2 linked regions of the Stegostoma tigrinum genome follow. The protein of the gene in region 2 interacts with the protein of the main gene of each other region in a pairwise test. Links are inferred from orthologs where the notes say so. Each region holds a gene or a part of one and is shown on either strand. Other genes may lie near its edges.

Region 1 (7,487 bases), about 27 Mb from region 2:
TAATTTGTATATTATCTGTAAACTTATTATTAACAACTAATGTCCACGTCTAGATCAATAATACACACCACAAACAGCAAGGGACCCCACACCAAACCCTATCAATCATAAAAACATCCTGCAGCCACCACCCTCTGCTTCCTGCCACTCAGTCAGTTTTAAATCCAATTTGCCAAACTGCCCCGAATCCCATGGGCTCTAAACTTCTTAAACAGACTGTCAGGTAAGATCTTGTCAGGAGCATTAGTGAAGCCGATGTAGATTTCATTAAGTACACTTGCACATTTAGTCACCGACTAGAAAAAAAATCAATTAAATTTGTTAGACATGCCTCTCCATACAGAGAAAATTTCCAAAAATTTCCCTATCACAGATGGTAGACTTCATGGCCTGCAGCTTCCTGGTTTATCCCTACCAGCCATCCTGAATAATGTTAGCCACCCTTCAATCTGGCAATCCCTCCTGTGGCCACAGAGTATTTGAAAATTAATGGCAGAACCCCTTCAGTCTCCTCCATTACTTTTCAAAGGAGTCTGTGCTGCATCTCATCTGGGCGCGATGTGGGTTTCATCCCTTTGAAGCCCACTAAAACCTCCTCCCTCAAATGATAATCCATTCAAATATATCCCAGTCCCCATCCCAATTTCTATTTCTGCTTCATCTTTCTCTATAATGAATATAAATGAAAAACACCCGTTTAAAACTTCACCACCAAAAACAGTTTTCCCTCCCCACCCTTACCTGCTTTCCAGAGGGACCACTCTCTCCGTGACTCCTTCGTCTACTCCACACTCCCCACCACCTTTCCCTGCAACTGCAGGAGCTGCTACACCTGCCCCTACATCTCCCGCCCTCACCTCCATCACAGGCCTCAAGAAGGCCTTCCACATCAAACAGATATTCACATGCACATCTGCTAAATGTGGTATACTGTATCCACTGTTCCCAATGTAGCCTCCTCTACATCAGGGAAACCAAGCGGAAGCTTGGGTACTGCTCTGTGGAACACCTATGCTTGGTTCACGTCAAACATCTGCACCTCCCACTCGTGAACCATTTCAACTCCCCCTTCCTTAGGCGACATGTCCATCCTGGGCCTCCTGGAGTGCCACAACGATGCCACCCGAAGCTTGCAGGAACATCATCTCATTTCACTTGGCAACCCTGTTGCCCAATGGTATCAACGTGGACTTCACAAGCTTCAAAATCTCCTCTCCCCCTACTGCATCCCAAAACCAGCCCAGCTCATCCCCGCCTTCCTTCCTCCCACCTATCCACTCCTCCCACTTCAAGCCTCACCCCATCACCCACCTCCCAGCCTCATCCCACCTCCTTGACCTGTCCATCCTCCCTGGACTGACCTATGCCCTTCCTAACTCCCCACCTACACTCAACTTTACCAGCTCCAACCCTGTCCATCTCCTCTCCACCTATCTTCACCTCTATCCACCTCCCTCCCCCTCCCTATTTATTTCAGAATCCTCTTCCCTTCCCCCATTTCTGAAGAAGTGTCTAGACCCAAAAGGTCAGCTTTCCTGCTCCTCGGATGCTGCTTGGCCTGTGGTGTTCACCCAGCTCTATACCTTGTTAGATCATTTAAAACTTCAGCCATATCTACCAACTCCCCACACAGATTGCCTGTCAGTGTCCGGGATTCTCTGGACTTGCTGCTCCCACCTTTTACATTTACAGGCAAAAGATGGCCACGCACTCTCACGCTACTCTTTTGAATGGCTCCTACCACTCTAATGTGCATTTTCCCACAAGTGGCTGCTCCCAGTCTACTTTGGACAGATGCTATTATTAAAATTCACCTTCCCACAAATCAGAACCTTTATTTCCAACATCCTTGACTCTATTCATTATTACCTCAAGTCTTACCAAATTATGGTAATCATCACTGGAATATTCCAACTGATACATCCATCACTTTCTTGCTTCATTCCCTAAACTTAAGTCAGGGGTAGCACTTGCAGCACTTTGTGTGCGCTAGCTTAAAAAGTTCTCAACAGTACATTATAAGAATTTCAAGACTTTCACACTTTCTATCCCAGCTAACCTTGGAGAAGTTGAAATCCCCTACTATATTTACTCTAGCATTCATGACACAGCTGAGATTGCCCCCGTGTATGTCTTTCTATCCCTACCTGACACTGTTTTGTTTGGGGGGGGGGGGCAGGGGCTATGGTATACCACCATTTTGTTTTTTTTAAATTCTACCCATATGGTTTTGATTGAGGAACTTTCTAAGATAGCATCCCTTCTTACTGCTGTAATTCACTCCTTGACCAGCAGTGAATCCCACCACCTCCCTGTCACACCCTAAGTTTCTGCACTCGAGCACATCGAGGCTACAGACCTGTCCCTGCCTGAACAGTGTTCCTTTGAGAGCAATGATATTGCATCCCCCATGTGTCAGTTAGCACACCATCAACTCATCTCCCTTAAGCGCAAGACGCCGTGCATTAAAATGAATGCCATTCCTGACTCTCCGCGCTCCCTGGTGGCTGGACTATATTTGGAAGCAACCAAAGCAAAAGCTTCGTCCTCCAGCGATATCAGAGAGGGTGGGTGGGTGCCCCTGATTGTGGGTTTTGAGACTTGCAGCTTGTAGGCAGGATGACGGGTAGTGAGGGTGTGCACGCACACTGTTCCCTGCGCTCCCGCAGTCAGAGGCCGTGCACACCCCGCCGCCGCTGCCTCTGCCGCCCCTCGATCGCTCACCTGGCGCATCCAGAGCTCCTTTTGGACGCGGCTGTAAACCTTTCCTCGGACATGTCGGTCCCGGCGGAGTAGGATTGTAGCCGCGCGGAAAAGGCGCTCTGCTCCCCCCGAGTTTGGACGCAAACCCGCTGCCAGTCCCGGTCCACGCTCAAGCCACTTCCGGCGGAAGGCGGCCGTTTAGCCGCAGTGCACGCTGGGAATTGTAGTTTTCGACCCCCCAATCTGGCGTTTCTAAAGACGTCATCGAGCGCGATATCTCTCGTCATCCCCGGCAAGTTTCCGTGGTGTAACAATTTCTCGTAAAGCTCAACCAGCACGTGGTGGTGGAGTTCCCGGTTTCCTCAGCATTAGCCATTTGTGACTACATGAGTGAGACGTGTCGACAGCACCAACAAGAGAAAATCATAAATTGCGCTTTATTATCATTTATCTGCCCTGACGTTAGAAACAGATAAGATTGAGTGGTGGAGCATGCTTTAGCAGCCAAAAACCTATTGCTGATTTTATGTTGGGGTAGTGCAGGAAGGTGGAGTTAAGACAGGGAATCAGCCACTACCATATTGATAGCAAGTTCAGATGGAGCTGTCTGATGAAGGGTCTAGGACTGAAACGTCAGCTTTTGTGCTCCTAAGATGCTGTTTGGCCTGCTGTGTTCATCCAGCTTCACATTTTGTTATCTCCCATTTCTTCTTAGGTTATTTTTAGCAACCTTAGAAATGTTTGCAGTTTCCTTTGTGGTCCAGTGGTTCCAATTCGATGCTTGTGTGGCCTGGGTACGTTTCCTGCTCAGACAATGACAGTTTATTGATAGGGACATCTTGCTTCCATTTTCATTTTTCAGTCTTTCTGTTTTGGAACTTGTGATGCTGAAATCGTTTCAGTTTGAAGACTGGATGAACACAGCAGGCCAAGGAGCATCACGACTGCTCCCTTGATGCTGCTTGGCCTGCTGTGTTCATCCAGCTCCACACTTTGTTATAAGATAATAAAATGTGAGCTTGGATGAACACAGCAGGCCCAGCAGCATCTCAGGAGCACAAAAGCTGACGTTTTGGGTCTAGACTCTTCATCAGAGAGGGGGATGGGGTGAGGGTTCTGGAATAAATAGGGAGCGAGGGGGAGGCAGACTAAAGATGGAGAGGAAAGAAGCTAGGTGGAGAGGAGAGTATGGGTGGGGAGGTGGGGAGGGGATAGGTCAGTCCAGGGAAGACAGACAGGTCAAGGAGGTGGGATGAGGTTAGTAGCTAGGAGATGGAGGTGCGGCTTGGGGTGGGAGGAAGGGATGGGTGAGAGGAAGAACAGCTTAGGGAGACAGACACAGGCTGGACTGGTTTTGGGATGCAGTGGGTGGAGGGGAAGAGCTGGGCTGGTTGTATGGTGCAGTGGGGGGAGGGGACGAACTGGGCTGGTTTTGGGATGCGGTGGGGGAAGGGGAGATTTTGAAACTGGTGAAGTTCACATTGATACCATTGGGCTGCAGGGTTCCCAAGCAGAATATGAGTTGCTGTTCCTGCAACCTTCGGCTGGCATCATTGTGGCATTGCAGGAGGCCCATGATGGACATGTCATCTAAAGAATGGGAGGGGGAGTGGAAATGGTTTGCGACTGGGAGGTGCAGTTGTTTATTGCGAACCAAGCGGAGGTGTTCTGCAAAGCGGTCCCCAACCCTCCGCTTGGTTTCCCACCCATTCTTTAGATGACATGTCCATCCTGGGCCTCCTGCAGTGCCACAATGATGCCACCCGAAGGTTGCAGGAACAGCAACTCATATTCCACTTGGGAACCCTGCAGCCCAATGGTATCAGTGTGGACTTCACCAGCTTCAAAATCTCCCCTTCCCCCACCGCATCCCAAAACCAGCCCAGTTTGTTCCCCCACTGTACCACACAACCAGCCCAGCTCTTCCCCTCCACCCACTGCATCCCAAAACCAGTCCAGCCTGTCTCTGCTTCCCTAACCTGTTCTTCCTCTCACCCATCCCTTCCTCCCACCCCAAGCCGCACCTCCATCTCCTACCTACTAACCTCATTCCACCTCCTTGACCTGTCTGTCTTCCCTGGACTGACCTATCCCCTCCCTACCTCCCCACCTATACTCTCCTCTCCACCTATCTTCTTTTCTCCATCTTCGGTCCGCCTCCCCCTCTCTCCCTATTTATTCCAGAACCCTCACCCCATCCCCCTCTCTGATGAAGGGTCTAGGCCTGAAACATCAGCTTTTGTGCTCCTGAGATGCTGTTGGGCCTGCTGTGTTCATCCAGCCTCACATTTTATTATCTTGGATTCTCCAGCATCTGCAGTTCCCATTATCTCAGCTTGAAGACTGTTGCCTTTATTTTGTATAGTGAGCATATTGTTGCATATTTTTAAATCATGGACTGCTGTTCTTCCTACTTTCCAAGGAAACCTTAAATAAAACATTTAAACAGAGCTCTTGGGTCTTTTTTGATCTGATGATCCATCTGCTTACAGGTTTCCCCCACGGTGAAACCTTCCGAAGTGGTTGAAACAATTAGTACACCCTCATGAAAGACGCAAACTGTGTATTGAAGATCAACCAGTGACCTTTGTGTAAATTGCCTGCTCATCTTTGGACATGGAGGGATGCAGTAAGCCGAGGTATATTGCTGCCTCTTCCTCCACCTGTTCTCTGCCAGGTATGGGGGAGTTACATCGGACTGTTTTATATATAGGTTTCACACCTTTATTGCATATCCTCTTAACAGTTTATGTGTTAGACAACATAGAGTCATTGTAGTGTGGAAACAGGCCATTTTGGCCAAATGAGTCCACACCAACCGTCCGAAGAGCATCCCACACAGACCCAACCCTTCCCGCCAACTCTCCCCCCCCACCCCGACCCTATCTCTGTAACCCTGCATTTCCCATGACTAATCCACCTAGCCTGCAGATATGGCAGGCTCAATCTCGTGACACAAGACACATAAACTTTGGTGTAAAAATGACTTGCTTCTCCCCCCTTAAATGTAAACCAGTATAATTGTGCAGTTGGTGTTGTGAGCATTGATAGTCTATCTGGGAAGAAATAGGGGCCTCCCCCTCTCTCCGTATTTATTTCAGAGCCCCCTTCCTTTCCCCCCATTTCTGATGAAGGGTCTAGGCCCGAAACATCAGCTTTCCTGCCTCTCTGATGCTGCTTGGCCTGCTGTGTTCATCCGGCTCTACAACTTATTATCTCAGATTCTCCAGCATCTGCAGTGCCTATCATCTCTGAAACCATTTTGACTTTACTGGGCATGTTGGTTTTAATTCTGGGCTCCATGCTTTAGGAGGATGCCATTGGCTGGAGAGAGAATTCAGACGAGATTCACTGATGTTTCCCCAATTAATGAATTCCTTTATTTGCAAAGACTTGACCTGGGATATTGTTCAAAGTTACAACCAATTTAGAAAGAATAAACAGAGAGAAATAGGTTTCCTATGGTAAAACCACAGATGAATCAGGGACATATATTTCAGAAGATCAATAAAAGAGTTTGTCACTTAGCCAGTGCAGCTCCTTTACCAAGTAAGTGCCTATCTTAAAGAGCTATGACCATTCGATAGGTGATCCTCCCTTTTGGGGTGGAAGAACATTTACAAGCATCATGCAATGCTTGTTAGCACTGAGCCTTCTCCAGACTAAGAATCTGTTGTGTACTTTTTGTTCGCAACACTGGTCATTGCCTGCAAGAGTGATGGGTATGGCCACAGGAGACGTACTCATCACGGTGCTCAGAAGACAAAGGCAGATAGGGGGTAAGCCAAAGTCACAGCAAGCCCAGAGGTGACAGCAAGCAACTATGGCAGCAAAGAGCCTTCAGCAGAGGAAGAGGTCATAGCTGAAGGGCCCCACAGGGACACAGGAGAGCTAGAGACTTTCGTCCTTAAATCCAATTTCTCAGGATGAATGAGGCACAGTGTCAGCGCAGACTCTGTACTTTCCTTGAACACTGAGGTTGAACTGTGCCACCTGCTGAGTCAGGACCTAAAGGAGTGAGGACAATGTTCTCTTGGTGGATGTGAAGGTGACAGCTACGATTAACTTCTATGTGCCTGGATCCTTCCAAGGAACCACTGGGGACCTGTGTTGGATCGCTCAGTTTTCCAGTGATCGAAGCCATCTGTCCCTCAACACCCTGGTTCATTTCATTTCCCTGTGACAAAGTCTCGGCAATGGGCTTCAGCAGCATGGCTGGCTTCCCCCAGTCACAGGGCTCTATCAACTGCACATACATCACACTGAAAAAGCCATAGTACATCAGTGCAGCAGAGTACCTCAATAGGAAAGGGTTCCATTCCACCAAGGTGACCACTGTTACCACTTCCTGGTGATGTGTGCCCACTGCCCTGCAGATAAAATAGAATAGAATAGAAATTTATGGTCACATGTACTTTTACATGAAAAATACAGTAAAAAATGTTTTAGGTCGTGACATCATGGCACCTATATTAATGACTGAAGTCATACTTAATAATTAAAAAATGTAAAATTAGGACACAGCTCGTCACAGTTCAGTTAACAGTTCTGGGGGTCAGAGAAAGCTGATTAAGGAACAATGGGATACCATGAAGACACAAACAGGATAAGACTGCCACACCAGGACGTGACTGCCGTGCTGGGCCGCTGGAAGCCAACTCATCACTGGGCCAGGAGAAGCCTCCTGTTCCACTTCTGATGCTTCTCCACACATTGCCACCAATTTGCCATCTGTCCCTTTCACTGATGTGTCTGCTCGTTCAGGCACCCCGGCCTCCCTGCAG
Region 2 (7,930 bases):
CTTGGTTGTGGTTTCAGCGCTATTCTTTTGTGGGAGGAGTGTTTGTTTTGTTTAATGTTAGATTCAAGTTGAACTTTGTAGCTTTAAGTTTATCACAGGGCTTTAATATTTAGAATACAAAGTATTGTTACCTTTGGCAGAGAAAAAAAAATCCTGAGAATTCAACATGTGCAACAAACAACCACTAATTTTTCTTTACAAAACATTTGTGCTAACAAAGTTTATCACTTCCTAATCTGCTTAGATTAGTCATCTTGGATTCTGTATGATGCTTGTCAGCAAATATTCTTTTCCTATCCCTTCTTGATATCGTTCATGAGATCCAGTTTGAAAGCGCATTGATAAAAATCTTATGTTCCTCGTGCAAAAATACTTTGTGAATTATGGTAGTTCGAGATGAAGACTTCATCATCCTCCCTTGATCTACTTTGGGAACGCGCATCTCATAAGATGATAGTTTGCACCGTGTTAGTTGACTCTGTTAAGCATTGCCCTAGTCTAACCCAGTGGCCCAATTCTGGCTTGTGCATTTGCTGCAGAGGAAGACAGTGGACTGAGAAAGTGCATGATTCAATGCCCTCTGTTTTTTCTGGACTCTCGTCTCAGCCAGCTGAGCTTGGTGTTTTTTTTAATTGTCTCAAGTGATGCCCTTCCAGTGAGCCTCCAGAGGGTCATGGCTGTCAGCAAGAGTCTCCCCATCATCGCTATGTGCTATCTTCATATTTCGATCGCCAGCAGGGATCTGAGATTTTTTTTCGGTACATCTTGGTAAGATTTTCTTCAGGACCACTTTTTGACTTTCAGGGCAACTTTTTTATTCTCACTCCTTTATTAGAAGATGTAACAACTTCTTTTTGTGTTGAGTTTATTTAAGGATTTTCTTCTTTAGACAGATAAACAAGCATAAGCACCAAAAATTAATATGCATGTCATACATTCCAAGTTCAAATATTTGAAAATTAAAAGGTTTTTAATTTATTGCAAATAAATCTTCCATATTGTGTTTTTATGCATTCACAGTATTAAATAGTTAAATGTATATCTTATGTAAGTATGATGCAGCATGAATTGTGATTTTACAGGAATTATTCCTGTCACTTGGAAAATTGTAGCAGCTTCCTGAAAACTTAGGTAAACATTGAATGTAGGTTGCTGACTATCATCGAGTGAAATAGTTTATAAGTCATCTACCTATTTGTCGTCTTTGCCTCAATAAATGAGAAATATTTAAGGTCTCAATGCTTTCCCATCACAAAAAGCTGTCTTGTATACATCCTAAGACATGTTGTGTTTTGCGTCCTCGTCTGTGAACAGTCGTTTGATTGCCTTGACAGTGCTGTTTTGAGTTACACGATGTGCCTACCCTTTAATTACTGGATAAACAGGCATTCTGATCTGCTGCCCTGCTCACTCTTCCCTATATACTCTCCTATTTCTTCTTAGCCTCCAGTCTCCAGCAGGTTGATACCCAGGATTTGCTCCTCCATCCACCTTGCTGCCAGTGCTTGGGTTCTGCTACTCTAGCTCATGACCAGCATTCTGGTTCTTTGTTCACACTTTCTATCTGGCCAATACGTGAGCTGTGTGCACTCCTAGCAGATTCTTAGGATGTTTGCAACTTATTCCCACCAGTGCCCATCTGACATTGTGCCCTGCTGTCTTCTCGCTGTACTCCTTGCACGCTGGTGGTTGACCCCACTGCTGTTAGTGCTCACCTTGTTGAATAATCTACTTCTCTGACCTTGTGAAATTCATATTCATAGATGCCTGGGACTGGCCGTGATAATTTGTTTTGCTCCCTCAATTGTGCGTTCCTTCCCTTCAAACTTTTTCCCATCACAAATTCCTGCAAAAGCAGGAAAAAAGGAATGCCTGATTGGAGCAGCTCTAGCACCCACTATGATTGGAGGAACTTTTCCTCACACATTCTGCCTCCATATAGGCTTGGCCATTGCTGTGATTGAACTTCTCTTCATTTTGGGAGGCTTTCAAGCACTATATTTGTCCAGTGGCCCCATGTATTTTCAGCACTGGCGTTTTTGTAACAAAGGTATAGATGCCCAGGAAGTTGTGACTTAATGACCGGTTTGCGATACAGGAATCTTTGGGTATGTGGCTGTCATCCATTTGATAAACATGGCTAACCAGTGTAGACACATTGGCTTTGCAATAAATGTATGCTGATGAAGTTGGCTTGCTCCAGCATCTCTAAGGTTGTGACCTGCCTCTGCATAGACGTCGTGGCGACAAATCAGCGATTGAACCAATACAGTGTGGAGCTGGAGGAACACAACAGGTCAGGTAGCATCAGAGGAACAGGAAAGTCAATGCTTCGGGTTTACGCCCTTTATCAGAAGTGATGGATGTCGACCCGAAGCATTGACTTCCCTGCTGCTGGAATGCTGCCTGACCTGCTGTATTCCTCCAGCTCCACACTGTATTGACTCTGACTCCAGCATCTGCCGTTCTTGCTACTATCGAGAATCTGAGACTGGAGATGGAAACTGTTCAGCTGCTTCCCCGCCCTTGAATGAGCAGTAAATGCTTTGTTTGTGGTGTCTCTGTCCTAAGAATGAATTTATGAGATGAAAACAAAGCAGACTTCAGCAAAAAACAGCTGCTTGTATAATTTTTTTGACACTGAATGATTAATTTCCTACCATAACTATTTAAGTATCATTAAATAAGCAACATTGTGAGTTTTTAGATTTATTGTGTGAAGTAATTAGAATATTTGTAGCAATGCGGTATCTAATTCATCATCCTTATGATGGCGCATGGCTTGTGTTACTGCTGGTGGTTTTACCTGATCGATCATACTTTGGAGATAATTTGGGGTATTTCTCTGAGTCCCTTTACCTTGTGCTGAATATATTTACATGTTTTAGAAGCTGTGGAATCAGATTGTCCAGTTGTCACAGCTGACTCAATGTTGGGTGTGGTATCTTGTAATTTAAATCATGCTCTTACATGTCTTTATGATCTCTGCTTGTCTATGTGAAATCTGTTGAATAATATCGAATTCTTCTTGTTCTGTGTTAGTGAGTAGAAGTTTGCACTTTCCCATGGGATGAGTCTGCAGTGGGCGTTATTCCTAAGCTCATCTGCACCATCTTGTGATTATTCTGAAAAATGACCTTGTGCTAAGTTATCTTTTAACTTGATACTGGGAAATATTTCTGCAGATGGTTGTCTGAATAATTATTCAATGATGGTGTCTCTTTGTCTCAGTTATTTGCAGATTCAAATGTTCTGGTCAGCATCTTGCAGAATTATTTTTGTGTATTTCAGATGATGATGCTGTCTTATAGCATGAAGAAACTGTTGCTCCCAGCTTTATTATTCTGTCAGTATCCCAGTTTTGTCAGCATACTTTCTGATTTTCAAGTCCTGAATTTTTTTTCCAACGTTGAGACTTGTTCAAATACATTACTGCTAATGTATACAACAGAGCCACTCCCTGCTTGAAGAGGTGACCAATTTGCAGGTGGCTCAGTAAATATGAAGAATTTCTTAGGAGATTCAGATACAAAACATTGCAGTTTTCTGAATGATTTGTGAAGAAATGTCACAGGACTCGAACTTTAGCTCTCTTCCTCTCTCCACGTATGCTGCCAGACCTCCTTAAGTTTCTCCAAGACATACTTGAAGCCTGTTTGATGTTCCTACCAACTGATGCAGTATTTCCTCTCCATAGGTTTGTACATAGGTATCATGTCTAGACAATTTATTCATCTACTTCCCCCAGACCCATTCTTCCCATCTTTTTTCCTTTATCACTGAGTACTCAACGAGGTATCCCGGTGATGATTTATGAATAAAGTACACATGGAACGTTACAGAATGAAAAATCATTGCTCCATACATTTTATGTGTCTTGTAATGTATATTATTTGTAATAATTTGGAAGTAGAACAAGTAATAATCAGGAGCAATAACATGATGATGGCTGCATTTCAGAACTATTTCATTAGCAACAAAAGCGTTGGTTCATCTTGAGTTTGTGGAATCCATGAATACATACATTTGGTTAGAAATAAAGAAATGATATCTCCTTAGAAAGTTGCAGTTTGTTTGTGACAGCTTCAGTTTGATGCAGCAGTTTCACTTTGCGGCGATTATGCAATGGTAGTCTGAAAACAGCCAAACTTCAAAGTATGAGTCTGTGTTGATTACAGTTGTGTTTCTCTAGACTTTACTAGTGTTTGTGAAGATATATTTCAAAGAAATACAGACGTCATTCTTGAAGGTTCACCTCCGTGTGTATTAGGTTATATTACGTCGGGTGTTATCTTTGGTCACCAGGATCGACCAGAGGAGAATAAAGTCTTGACGTCTGGCTAGACCATGTGATAGATGGTTGAACCAGTTGTGCAACAGACACATGTATTGTTATCACTCAAGAACTCCTTTGGCCTAGCGTTTCAGATTCCTTTCAGCACTTTGAAGCTTTCTTCTTAGGTCCCTTGTGTGAGTGCAAGACAATAATTCCCCCTTTTTTTTCTCTGCATCAAATGCCTATGTCTGTGCTTGCTTTTGTTTGACGCAGTCCTGATTAGATTAATGGGGCTGTCATAAACTTTAGTACTTGAACTTATTGCTTCTTTGTTGTTTCTATCTGCAAAACTGCCAAGGCTAAACGTTCTTGTTTTCCTGTTATTCAGGAAACTTCATTGTCATGAGAGCAGTTCTGTTGAGGGAGATTATCAGATTTCAAGCATTTAGCATTTTCCAGTTTACTGCTTTCAATGATCAGCAAAACATCCCCTCCCGCACTGAATATTTAAGTGAGGAACATTGAACCTGACGTAGCATTTTTTTTGATGAGAATGGAACATTGTTGCTTGTCAGTGTTACAATGGAATCTGTATGGGAAATCACCTTCTGAGAGGTTGTAGACTTGTTTGCCAAGTCAGTGTGTTTGATTGCAGACATTTTGACTCCGTGCAAGGTAACATCATCAGTGTACCTACGGTGTAGTGTTCTTCTGTCCCACTTGTTATTTATATGCCTTTGTTGGGGTGATTGACATTACTTCTGGTTCTATTTTTCAGTAATTTTGTATATTGGGTCCAGTTCAGTGTGTTTGTTGCTGGACTACTGGTTGGAATGCCAGGCCTCCAGGAATTCCCTGGCATATCTCTATTTGGCTTGTGCTATTACGGATGTTTTGTCCCAGTCAAATTCATGTCCTTCTTTGTTGGTGTGTCTTGAGACGAGTGAGAATTTGTCGTGTCTCTTGGTGACTTGTTGGTGTACCCTTATTGTCAGTTGTCTCCCGGTTTGGCCGACGTAATGTTTCTCACAGTCTCTGCATGGTATTTTGTATGTTATGTTAGTTTTATTGGTTGTGCGTCTGGGATCCTTTATGTTCATATGTAGCTGTTGCAGGGTGGTTGTTGGTTTGTGGGCTACCCTGATACCTAGGGGTCTGAGTAGTCTTGTGATCATCTCTGACATGTCGCTGATGTACGGTAGGGTGACTAATGTGTCTGGCCATGTCATGTCTTCTCATTGTGGTCTGTCACAGATGTAATGGTGAATTGTGCTTTTTGGGCATCTGTTCCTTTTAAAAACTCTGTATAAGTGCTCTGGTCTGCTTTGCGCAATTCTGTGAATAATGTTCTTATGCAGCTCTGTTGATGGATGTTGGGCTGGTTTCTGGCATTGCACTACGCAGTCTTCAGAATGAAGATGATGATCTTGACCATTATTCTGATTACACTTAATTCATCAATTCCTGCTCTGTTGGTTCATCAGCACTTGCATGTGCGTATATGTGCACTTCTTCACCTGTTGCCTTCAGCTCTGGAACTTGCTGTTTAAAATTCCTTCTCTCCATCTCTCTTGGCTCCTTTTAAACGACCTGTTGGCCATCTACCCTTATATTGCCTTATGTTATTCAGTGTTAATTTTGCTCTATAATAATTTTGTGTAGTGCTTTGAGACTTCAAGTTAGGATAAAAATTTGTGTCCTTGGGCTTATTGTGCATTAAAAAGAAGAATTTGGTTGTGTATAGGTTTCATCAAGACAAACTTCACTCTGCTCATTGAACATAGCTGTTGCTTGCTTCAATGGATTTGTCGAGTATTTTTCCTGTAGATTGTGACCAGTTTTCATTTTTAAAATTTTGGAATTGATGTAGCATACTCTTGAAAATAAATTCAGCTCCTTATAGTTAGTGTTTTCCCTCCTTAATTTAAACTTGAAGTATTCTTATTCTTCAAATATGTGTCAGTAATTATGTTGTTAGGCCATATTAATGACACAGCTGTTCTCTTTGTCTGCAGATCCTTGCACTCAAGATATCTTTGGAAAGAAAAGGGACCAAGCAGGTATCTCAATAATTAACACTTCACTTCCGAACTGTCAGCTGAAAAGTGTCTTCTCGATTGGTACCAGAGGGATTGTGTATTAGTGTAAAGTAATGGCTCTTGATCCTTTTGGATTGTTCTGTTTCAGTATTTGATTTTTGTTCTTTATGACACAGTATTCTATTATTTAGTTATGTTGACAATGTCGTAGATCCTCATTTCCTTTGGAATCTGTGAGTGGAATCCTGTGCAGTCACTAATCCTGAATAATTATTTTAAATAAGTCATTATAAGAAACACCAAGGTATCAGAATGTGATATATTCAGCTTGCATTTTTAAAACTGATAGAATTGAAATAGCATCTCACCAAACTAACTTGTGAACAATACATGTCATGACCTTGAATCGTATAGTGTACTGGAAATAAAGCTGCACTATTCATCAGGTGTGAAATAGGAGGACTGTAATCTTCACAATGGTTAACACCTGACTGTAACTACAATGTAAGATTAAAGAAATTCACACCAGGTTTCAACAATGAAAAAGAAACAAACATACCTTATAAGTTGTGGCAAAACCAACTATATATCTAAACTATACCCGTTTAAATCTAAGCATACTCGTTCATTCACATGTGTAATGGACAAAACAGACGAGATCTACCGAATTTTCTTTCAGGAATGTCATTGATACCAAGTATAGATCAAAAAGCAGCACCAACTCTGTCAATCAGAGTCCAAACTACGAAAGGAAATGAGGTAACTGGCTCTCAGTTCTTTTTTGGCGATGGTATCACATTGTTGTCAATGTGGCAGTCTTCAGTTCTGCAGCAGGTGATTTGGACCTCTGTCTTGCTGTAATTTAGCAGTTCTTCTTTGAAATTTTTTGTGGATTATTTGTTTTTTAATCACAGAGCGAACTTGCCGTATGCCTTAAGTCCCAACAGCTCTTTCTTTCCTCTTAATTCTGTGACAAACTGTACTAAAACCATTCCATGTGCTATTGCAGGCACTTACTTCTTCCCTTAAAGCCACCTGATGTCAGTGTGTCTGGCAAAAGTATCAAATGCAACTTCTTAAAAAAAAATTATGTTGATCGAATTGTGAATCAAAACAACTAATTTACAAAATAATCAAGTGTGAAGCTGGATGAACACAGCAGGCCCAGCAGCATCTCAGGAGCACAAAAGCTGACGTTTCGTTCCTAAGTAAGGGTCTAGGCCCGAAACGTCAGCTTTTGTGCTCCTGAGATGCTGCTGGGCCTGCTGTGTTCATTCAGCTTCACACTTTATTATCTTCGGATTCTCCAGCATCTGCAGTTCCCATTATCAATAATTTACAAACCTCTGTTTCCCGGTTTATGTTTCCAAACAAAATATGAGTGGCCCTTACAGTGGTCTGATCAGGAATGTTGATGTTCATCACGTAAAGGGGAGATAATGATGAAAAGGTATCTTCACCCTGAAGGTGCCATTTAGAACTGTTTCACATGTAAAACAGAAAAGGTGATGATTAATTTCGGGGGCTTGCAGGAAATTATCAGAATTTGATACCAGGCCAGAAAAGAGGTTTTCTGTGGGCAGATGTCTAAGGTATTTATGGAAGGCTAATTTAA

Evidence for each region.
Region 1: the proteins of double-stranded RNA-specific editase 1-like (region 2) and interferon-inducible double-stranded RNA-dependent protein kinase activator A homolog A-like interact in binary tests that used the Homo sapiens proteins (3 or more experiments, as listed by UniProt). The link is inferred for Stegostoma tigrinum from reciprocal best matches to the Homo sapiens genes ADARB1 and PRKRA.

The regions. Positions count from the first base shown.
Region 1 is NC_081360.1:44,503,035-44,510,521, reverse strand, and holds the start of interferon-inducible double-stranded RNA-dependent protein kinase activator A homolog A-like, read right to left. Parts: upstream 3,006-7,487; 5' UTR 2,991-3,005; coding exon 2,725-2,990; intron 1-2,724. UniProt on the Homo sapiens protein: Activates EIF2AK2/PKR in the absence of double-stranded RNA (dsRNA), leading to phosphorylation of EIF2S1/EFI2-alpha and inhibition of translation and induction of apoptosis.
Region 2 is NC_081360.1:17,594,495-17,602,424, reverse strand, and holds the start of double-stranded RNA-specific editase 1-like, read left to right. Parts: upstream 1-4,830; 5' UTR 4,831-4,869; coding exon 4,870-4,951; intron 4,952-6,291; coding exon 6,292-6,336; intron 6,337-7,930. UniProt on the Homo sapiens protein: Catalyzes the hydrolytic deamination of adenosine to inosine in double-stranded RNA (dsRNA) referred to as A-to-I RNA editing.